Linked DNA regions of Arabidopsis thaliana. The protein of the gene in region 1 purifies or fractionates together with the protein of each later gene. This does not show direct contact. Each region holds a gene or a part of one and is shown in the gene's direction. Other genes may lie near its edges.

Region 1 (3,050 bases):
AAGTTGGAAGCTTCGAGAGCGACGAGAGAGACGAGAGAGGAACGTTGAAACCTTCGAGCATGGTTAAGTTCGAAGCTTGAGCTCCTCTCTTTAGTGCATCTCCTGAACGATTTAGAGCTGGTGTTCCCCAAAAATACGATAACGGAGATTTAACGGCAGCGAACAATTCCCGTTTTTTCTCAAACGGAAGACTCAGTAATGACTCCGAGATTTCTTGAAGCCGTGACGTTAACGCCAACGGTACTCCGTGATTCTCTAGACGGAATATTCCCCACTCCTTGCATGCCTCTCTCAGTATCTCCTTGTCCAAACGTTCCAAATCGATAACCGGGATATTGATATCCTTGCCCTGGACAATAACCGGTGTTGCTGGAGGATTTTCGTCGTTGGTTACACGCCGGAAAGCCGGTGGATATGACTCACTGATGCTCATCTCTCCCTATTTCTCTTGAGATCTCTTTCGATTTTATCCTTTAAAAAGTCTATTAAATTACTTAAAACAAATGAAGTGTTTGATGTGTATCTATAGGTGCATTTAGTTACAAAGGATTACGTTCCAAAAAATGATAAATTTTCCATAATATATATATCTATAGATCAACACCTCCTTATAATATAATATTCCCTAATGAATTGATGTCACTTGTCACGGATTTATGTCTGTAACACAAATAAGGCATAGATTCTGTATAAACGAAGAGACCAAGTTGCATGCGATGTGGGTACGTGTACCATTTAATCTTACTTGTCGGCCCATCTCTCGTAAAGTTTCAATATTTTTCTAAATTAATCAAAACATTTTTTGGTTTTTAAATGAAAATTAAAAGAACTTATTCGTAATTATACCGATACTGCTATACAACGAAATTATATAAGCAGATGTAGAGTAAATATGTACTGTATTATATTGTAAATAATCTTGTCTACTTCTTCTTATATATTTTGAATTCATCCAACAGAAACCAAAAATCTATCAATTTGACGAGAGCATGTTTGATGCGTATCACCAATCACCATTAGTCGGATCCAATATGAGGTTTTAAGGAGCCCAATAGAACCCACGGAAAATCTTTGTAGCAAATTATACAACTACATTAAAAATAAAAGATTTTTCTAAATACAATTACTGGAGGGCAGTACAATGCATGGTAAGGCATAATCGGTGAAGTACCAATCTCATTACGAATTTCACTTACTTTGGTTAAAACTGTCTCATGAACATATTTTGACTTTTGGAAATGTAGTAAACATGTTTTGTCCTCGTTTAGAAAGAACAGTGAGGAGAGTGAGCTATAAATTATTATTTTCTGGCGAGAAGTTCGAGGAAACCCCATAAAGAGAAAGAAAAAAGTCAACAAAAAAGTTTGGGAGTGGGAGAAATTGGTAAAATGATCTTAAAATTTGGTAATAAGCGTTGACGATTTGCACAAAATGACAATCACTGTCTTGTGTGCCTCCACACTTCCACTTGCTTGGCCTTGATGTGACATACGTGGCACCACGCGTTGCACACGTCACCTCCCACTCCCGCCTTCTTAGCTGACACGTGTCGTCATCTACATGGTCTTACTCTTCTGACCTGTTTTCATCATCTCCGCATTATAAGAAACGTATATATATTTGATTGAGATTTGAGACAAGTAAAATCAGTTTGGATAAACACACACTTGTTGTCGTTTCTTTATAAATAAGACGGACACGAATCTGTAACCGATGCATTTTTAAGATTCTTTTAATTATATCAGACAGAGAGATATGACTTTTGTAGTTCGTCTTCTTGTGTGTCTCTTATTGACGCTTACAATTACATCTTCTCTAGCCCGCAACCCTGTTTCCGTTTCAGGTTCGAATCTCATCTTCTTGTTTCCTTCCTTCGATTCGTTCATGTTTTTCTCTATGTCTGAATGATTTCGTTTGGATTAGGTGGGTTTGAGAATTCTGGATTCCAAAGGAGTTTGTTGATGGTGAACGTTGAGGACTACGGTGACCCATCTGCAAATCCTAAGCACGACCCCGGCGTTCCTCCGTCAGCAACCGGCCAACGTGTCGTCGGCAGAGGCTGACGTAATGTTTTAGTTAACGCAGAAGGAAAGAACTCTTCTTGTTTACATTTTCAGTTTGTCTGAGATTAAATCTCAGTTCATATAGCTTTCTCTAATCTGTCTATATAGATATTTTCTCGTAATCTCCATACAACTTCATTTATTTTTTTCTTATGGCAATGACTTTGTACCTTATTTTCCAATTTGTGTCTATGCAAAATGATTGAATCAAAAGAGTTCACTCTAGGTAAACCAAGGTATGCTACATCAACAGATTAACTGAAACATAGAAGACACTTTTGGCACATGAGATTGTACCACCATCTCGTATTAAAAATACTTGTGAGAACTTCACGGAAAGGTTCCAGCGTTTCTATCTTCTGATACTACTACTTCAGTAGCTGCTGCCTGTGAGTATGCTCGGTCGTGTTAGAGTTTTACTGATGAGATCTCTCAGCTCGATCTCTCCTGGGAATCTACCTTCTTTCAATTTAGAGAACACCTGAAATAGAAACACAGGATTTAGTACAAACTGATCTTACATATCTGGAAATAATCTTAAACCATTAATTACTAACCGGTTCGCCGTTGCAGTGAACTTCAAAGGCGCCTGAGCTTTGAAGGTAAGACTGCAGAAAGTTTCCGATAAGCCAAGTGGAAGCCATGGATCCAAATCTGTTGGCCCTCAAGGAGTGGAACCAAGCAGGTGGGTTCGTAATTCCAATCATGGGAAGGATACGATCACCTGCAACTATCATACCAATAACTCCCATCTGAACAACCGGCACAACCTTAGCTAGAAGGCGTTTTGGTGCTGGTGGTGGGTAATTTGCGAGAATCACATCTAAACCGGGAAAAGCCGTCTCTAACATCTTCTTCATGGTGACTGCAGTTCCCCTACAAATTAAAAAAATTGGGATGAACACCAGTCACACTGATAAAGAAAGCTAGAGTTACTTATGCCTTTTGCGGAGAAGTTCAAAACAGTATCCAAAGAAGTCATGTCAT
Region 2 (6,361 bases), on another chromosome or scaffold:
GATTCCTCTGTTTGAAGGCAGAGAACAATACTAAAGATGTTTTGATACAAAGACTCAATGATTTCTTCATCGGAACAAGTAGTAAGAGAATCAATCCTCATGTGATTATTGTAGTGGTCACAGAGTGGAGAAATTGCAATGATTCCACTGTCTCCTTTAGAGATCATAGGAGTTATGGGTTCCACATAACCTGATGTTCCTTCAATGGAGTTTTCTTCATAGTCCATGGTGATGGTGTCACAATATCTGGAAAAAGACAGTAAAACCATACATTCAGACAAAGCCCTTGTAAACGAAACCAGAGGAAGCAACGAGTTTAAAATCCATGATTATTGAATAGTACCCCTAATAAGCTATTTCACAAATTGCGTTAAGTTCGAGAAGAAACATTTAGTCGCATATCGTGATGCCATTAATGAAAGAAAAAAAATCTAATCTAAAAGACAAAAAGATTGCACGACAAATTAGATGATACGAAATCATCGAATTTATTAGAGTTATGGCACTTTTTCAGAAACGATTCAAAAGAGTGAGAAAATCTCTATACCTTTGACTCATGAGGTCTGTAATTTTTTGTTTATCTTTTCTTTTTTTCTTTGACAGCAATTTTTTTTTTTTTTTTTTTTTTGCGATTTTAATATTTTTTATAAACTTAAGAAAATGATAAGCGGAGAAACAGAAGACACTAGGCCCATTTAATTATCAGGCCCAATTGTATTAATATCTTAAACCTTCTTTAAAACCATAAGATTAACACAAAGGTTTACGACTATCCTTCTAGATTTTATTTTCCAAGCATTTTTAATCCTACTGTATTTCTCAAATCTACAACCTTTGATGATTTTTTGTCATCACCAACTTTTTTAAAAAAATAATTCATTTTAGGACATTTCAATCCCAATGGCAATAATTACCCATTTATACGAATTCTAGCATACTAGTTAATGTATAATTACTTTGCTATTTATTGGAAACCTATGGAGGTAATATTTATCTCTAAAGGAATTTATATATATTTTTAGTTAAATACATATTTATTGATATTTTAGGATTACAATAAACATGGCAACAAATTATATTAAAAATTAAAAAACAGATATTTTTATTGTATAGATGAAAACAAACAAGTCATTGCAAAACGAATGGAACGATGACAAGATTGAAAGGAGACAGCATCCGCCATCAGCATGAGACATTTGAACCCACAACATTTTTTTGTAGACAAGTCTGGTCTTTTTACTTAAAGCAAATAAACTCTAGACTTTAGGCCTTATAACATTTAAGCATAAAGTATGGCCACTGTCAGGATTGAACTCTCAAATCTCAACGGAAAACTTTAATGCTCATAAAAATCTGTGAACGAATGATTGAACTGAAGCAATGACTAAGAACAAATGAGTCATAACTCATAACCATGATCCTGTAACTATAAGTTTCCTCCTTGAGGTCTTTCACACACAACGAGGGATGGATGTACATGTCACCAGAAGCAACAAGAAGATCAAGACGCAACTAAAAGGCCAAAAGAAGTGAAGAACAAAATATTACACAAAGAGGGGATGTATAGTTGTATACCCACGGTTTACCGATTTCGGTTTTCGTTCCGATAACCGGTTATGTATTTCATTTTGTATTATATAGAAGGCATTGGTCAAACCGCACTCGAACCAGAAAGGAAAGTGCATTCATACTATTACTGACTAGTGGAAAAAAAAAAAAAAAAAAAGCATTGGTCTCTCTCAAAAAAGATTAATTCGTTTGGCTAAATCAAATTTGACACTAGTGTCTTCCTCAGTGCGTGTTTATAATTTTTCTGGGTGGCGAGAAACCAAGAGAAAATCTCGTGACCCTGTTCTCTCGGGAGCGCACACAATCTCTCTTCTTCTTCGTCTTCCTCCTCCAATCGATGTAATCACACACACACACAAAAACACATCTTTTCCTTGTTTTCGTAGGACCTAGTAGATAGCGAGTTTTGCCCCCAAAACAGCGATCGAGGGAATTTATGAGCACGAGATCTCGATTCCCCATACACGTAGGCCTCTGCTTCTCTCTCTTGTTCCTTTGTTCCTTTCTTTATTCGATTTTCTGGGTCCCTTTTGCCCTGTTTTTCCTCTGTCTCCTTCCCCCAAAATCTTTCGGTTTTGTTTTTATACAACTTGCAACCGTTAATGTTCATCCTCACCGATTGATCACCTACTCTTTTCCCTTCCTGGGTTTTGTTTCTTTCGAATAAAGATTGATCCTTCTTTCACTTATAATCGTTTTGGTAATCAGTAGGGTTTGGAATCGAGGCACAATGCAAATGAACTCTGTTTGGAAGCTGTCTCTTGGGTTATTACTTCTTAGCTCAGGTATGTATGCAGAATGGTTTTACAAAATTGTTCATTTGATAAAAAAGCTGGACTTGTCTCTGATGTTCTTGGAATAATTGGCAAATTATATCTCAGTTATTGGCTCTTTTGCGGAACTTGATTTTGGCCATTGCGAAACTCTTGTGAAAAAATGGGCTGATTCTTCTTCATCTCGTGAAGAACATGTTAATAAAGACAAACGCTCGCTTAAGGATTTGCTCTTCTTTCTCCACGTTCCGCGAACTGGAGGCAGAACATATTTTCATTGGTGATTTGATTTCCTTTACCAAAAAGTTTTTGAGAGATTCTTTTATGATTGTTGTGTGGTTAAGGCTGTGTTTGTGCTCTTGTAGTTTTTTGAGGAAGTTGTATGATAGCTCTGAGGAATGTCCTCGATCTTACGACAAGCTCCACTTCAATCCAAGGTATCTTAATTTCATCAGTGCTCTCGCTAATTGTACGTCTTTATTTGATGCCAAAGACTCTTTCTTGTGGAAACAATAAGATGGCTTACAGAATGCTGTTTGTACATTCTATTGGTTGTTAAGTTGACTTTAGATAGCTTAGCTAGACATATATAAAGTTAAATATTGTTTCATATGAAAATCAATTTTCCCTAGCCTCCTTTACCTAAAGAAAAACAATGTGAAAAAAGTATTTTGCCTGTGGTGTTACTACCTTCGGACAGTTAAGATCGTGTTGACTCGTAAATTTATAGGAAGGAAAAGTGCAAGTTGTTAGCCACACATGATGATTATAGTTTGATGGCAAAGCTTCCGAGGGAGAGAACTTCGGTGATGACAATAGTTCGGGATCCTATTGCGCGTGTGTTAAGCACTTATGAATTTTCCGTAGAGGTAGCAGCTAGGTTTTTGGTGCATCCCAATTTAACTTCTGCGTCAAGGATGTCTAGCCGCATACGCAAGAGTAATGTAATAAGCACACTAGACATATGGCCATGGAAATACCTAGTTCCATGGATGAGAGAAGACTTGTTTGCTCGGGTATGTCGACCTATCCCATTCGTCTTTTTTGGCTTTTAAGCTAGAACATGATAAGAACACATAAAACTTGGGCTGAAGCTTTTTTTACTCATCCTTGGCTTTTCTTAGCGAGATGCACGAAAATTGAAGGAGGTAGTGATCATTGAGGACGATAACCCGTATGACATGGAGGAGATGCTTATGCCTTTGCACAAATATCTTGATGCGCCTACTGCTCATGACATCATCCACAATGGAGCGACTTTTCAGGTACTTTTTCATGCTATTTGTTTAAGTTTTCAAAGTTATTGATTAGAGATCTCCAGAGCATTTTCATTTCACTTCACAGATTGCAGGATTGACAAATAACTCCCATTTATCAGAAGCACACGAGGTTCGGCATTGTGTGCAGAAATTCAAAAGCCTTGGTGAGTCTGTTCTCCAAGTTGCCAAGGTAGTAACACTTCTTCTTCATCATAGTTCACTGCGTCTTGGTATTGTGCTTTTAAAAGCAGCAGATTCTGTAAGCTTTTTTAAATTTTGCAGAGGAGGCTAGACAGCATGTTGTATGTTGGACTGACAGAGGAGCACAGGGAATCTGCATCACTTTTTGCCAATGTAGTGGGTTCTCAAGTGCTGTCTCAAGTGGTTCCGTCCAATGCAACTGCGAAAATCAAAGCTCTTAAATCAGGTTGGTGTAAGTTTCTTAATACCATCGCTGGGCTATCTAAGGAGAATCTAGCAACTTAGTTGAAGGACATGGTGATCATTTTTTTAGTCACAGTGTACAGTTTTTTCAGAGTACCGCTTTGGAGATGGTATTTACTTTAGTTTTTGGCTTTTGAAAGTCAAAACCCGTCATATTATTCATTAAAATGTTTGACTGATATTTTTCATTCACTTTTTAGGAGTTTGATTTTTAATTACCTAGGGAAGCTACTTATTGTTCTCTGTTATTTGGGGATTATCGTATAAGGTTTGATTGTCTTTCATCATGAAGATTTTTCTGATCTATGTTTCTTGTTGTCACATCATCTTTAAAGGTTCTCTTGCCCTCTTTTGTTTTAGACTTGTGTCTTGTTACTCTGGGTCCCTGGGTTTATTAAAGTTTCTTTGTTGGTTAATCATAGTCTCTTAGAGTAAGTAGAATGATGATATGACAGTTCATGTGCATACAGCCTAGGCTTTCTATTGCTTTTGTTGTATTTAAAGTCAGGATAACAAATGGTTGTACTTGCACTCACCAAATTGTCAACTTTATTTCCTTGATGCTTCAGAAGCAAGTGTCACAATTTCAGAAACCGGGTCAGATAAGAGTAATATTCAGGTAAAGTCCTGCTGCAGAAGGTAATAATTTGTTTGTTCAACTGTCATTTTTGTAATTGTCTTGCTGAAAATGGCTGTGACATTACAGAATGGTACATCTGAAGTTACATTGAATAAGGCAGAAGCTAAGAGTGGGAATGTAAGTAGAATCCCTTTTCCAATTTATTATCAACGCTTGAGACCTTGTGTGACTTTTATATATACACTTCAGATGACGGTAAAAACCCTTATGGAAGTCTATGAAGGCTGCATCACTCATTTACGAAAGTCCCAAGGAACCAGACGGGTCAACTCTCTGAAGAGAATAACTCCAGCAAATTTTACAAGAGGGGTAAAGTGTTTTCGTACATGATCTAAACTTAGTAAAGTTAATGAGAGAAGGCTGGAATAATGAAATCTTTTGACAATGCATCTAACAGACGCGTACAAGAGTTCCTAAAGAGGTCATTCAGCAGATCAAATCGCTTAACAACCTCGATGTGGAGCTCTACAAATATGCAAAAGTAATCTTTGCCAAAGAACATGAATTAGTGTCGAATAAGTTGATCTCAAGTGTAAGAAACTTCTTGTCTTCACATTTCGCCTTTTAGTTTCTGTCTGATATAAGACTAAACTCCATGATTCGTGTGCAGTCTAAGAGAAGCATTGTTGATCTGCCGAGTGAGTTAAAGAGCGTATTGGGAGAAATGGGTGAAGAGAAGCTATGGAAGTTCGTACCAGTGGCATTGATGCTTTTATTGATCGTCCTCTTCTTTCTATTTGTAAACGCTAAAAGGAGAAGAACCTCCAAAGTTAAGATTTGATCATTGTCACTATATTTTGGACCAAATCAGCAATTTGAAGAAGCTTTTGGGGTCCAATTTGTAATATTATTCTCTTTCTTTTTCTACTTTTCGTGGAAAAAGAAAAAGTTTTGGGTGTTGCCTTACCTTACAGGTGAAAAAGGGAAAATCACAAGTAAAAAAAAACTCTCTATCTACTTTATTTTAAAAGGCTAAACAAAACAGGTAAAGTCACAAAATTAGTGCTTCTTTTTTTTTTTTTGTTTAAGTGAGCTTAATCAATAAAGATAAAAGTAATAAGATTTCACAATTTTTTTTTTTTTTTTTTTTTGAGAAAGTACACTACTAACTGGTTTGAATTTGACTGTACCATTTTTCACGCAACAGACTGTGTGCAATTTAAAGTACAGTTCATACAAATCTCTATAAAACAAATTGTACAAAAGCAGTAAATATACCCCCACGTGATATTTGTTTTCTTATCAACGACGCAGTGTAAACAATAATATGTCAAAAATTTTGAAGAAAAAATCATATAAACTATATAAGAAGAAAAAATGAAAAGAAATATGAAGATCGTGTATATTAATTTTTTTTTATATAAAAAATACTAATAATAATAATTGATTGATGGGAGGAAGATAGTAAGTGAAAGGGATGAAACATATCATGTGGGAGATGGAAGCAAAGAGTTAGGCAAGGGACCCACTTTCCCATGAGGAAACGCCATAATCATCTTTATTATTATTATTATTTCGGTTCTCGTCTCTTAATCCTTCGTCGGTGATCTCTCCATTTCACTTTGACTCTCTCTATTATACTAAAGGTTTTTAGTATATTATGTTAAACCCAACTTATTTGTTTGCTACGTAAATTAAATTATACATCAATTCATGATACTATCTATTATTATTGC

What was found.
Region 2: the proteins of PSY1 (region 1) and TPST purify together in Arabidopsis thaliana (co-purification; one study listed by BioGRID). This does not show direct contact.

What each region holds. Positions count from the first base shown.
Region 1 is NC_003076.8:23,698,892-23,701,941, reverse strand, and holds PSY1 (plant peptide containing sulfated tyrosine 1), read left to right. Parts: upstream 1-1,715; 5' UTR 1,716-1,755; coding exon 1,756-1,843; intron 1,844-1,923; coding exon 1,924-2,063; 3' UTR 2,064-2,234; downstream 2,235-3,050. Other genes in the region: AT5G58660 (2-oxoglutarate (2OG) and Fe(II)-dependent oxygenase superfamily protein), read right to left, coding at 1-433; AT5G58640 (Selenoprotein, Rdx type), read right to left, coding at 2,437-2,544, 2,621-2,939.
Region 2 is NC_003070.9:2,488,680-2,495,040, reverse strand, and holds TPST (tyrosylprotein sulfotransferase), read left to right. Parts: upstream 1-1,713; 5' UTR 1,714-2,035; intron 2,036-2,072; exon of another isoform or gene 2,073-2,277; 5' UTR 2,278-2,299; coding exon 2,300-2,354; intron 2,355-2,450; coding exon 2,451-2,622; intron 2,623-2,707; coding exon 2,708-2,779; intron 2,780-3,072; coding exon 3,073-3,358; intron 3,359-3,466; coding exon 3,467-3,607; intron 3,608-3,686; coding exon 3,687-3,791; intron 3,792-3,883; coding exon 3,884-4,028; intron 4,029-4,614; coding exon 4,615-4,664; intron 4,665-4,751; coding exon 4,752-4,802; intron 4,803-4,874; coding exon 4,875-4,994; intron 4,995-5,082; coding exon 5,083-5,217; intron 5,218-5,295; coding exon 5,296-5,466; 3' UTR 5,467-5,632; downstream 5,633-6,361. Other genes in the region: AT1G08035 (uncharacterized protein), read right to left, coding at 1-269. UniProt on the Arabidopsis thaliana protein: Catalyzes the O-sulfation of tyrosine residues within acidic motifs of polypeptides.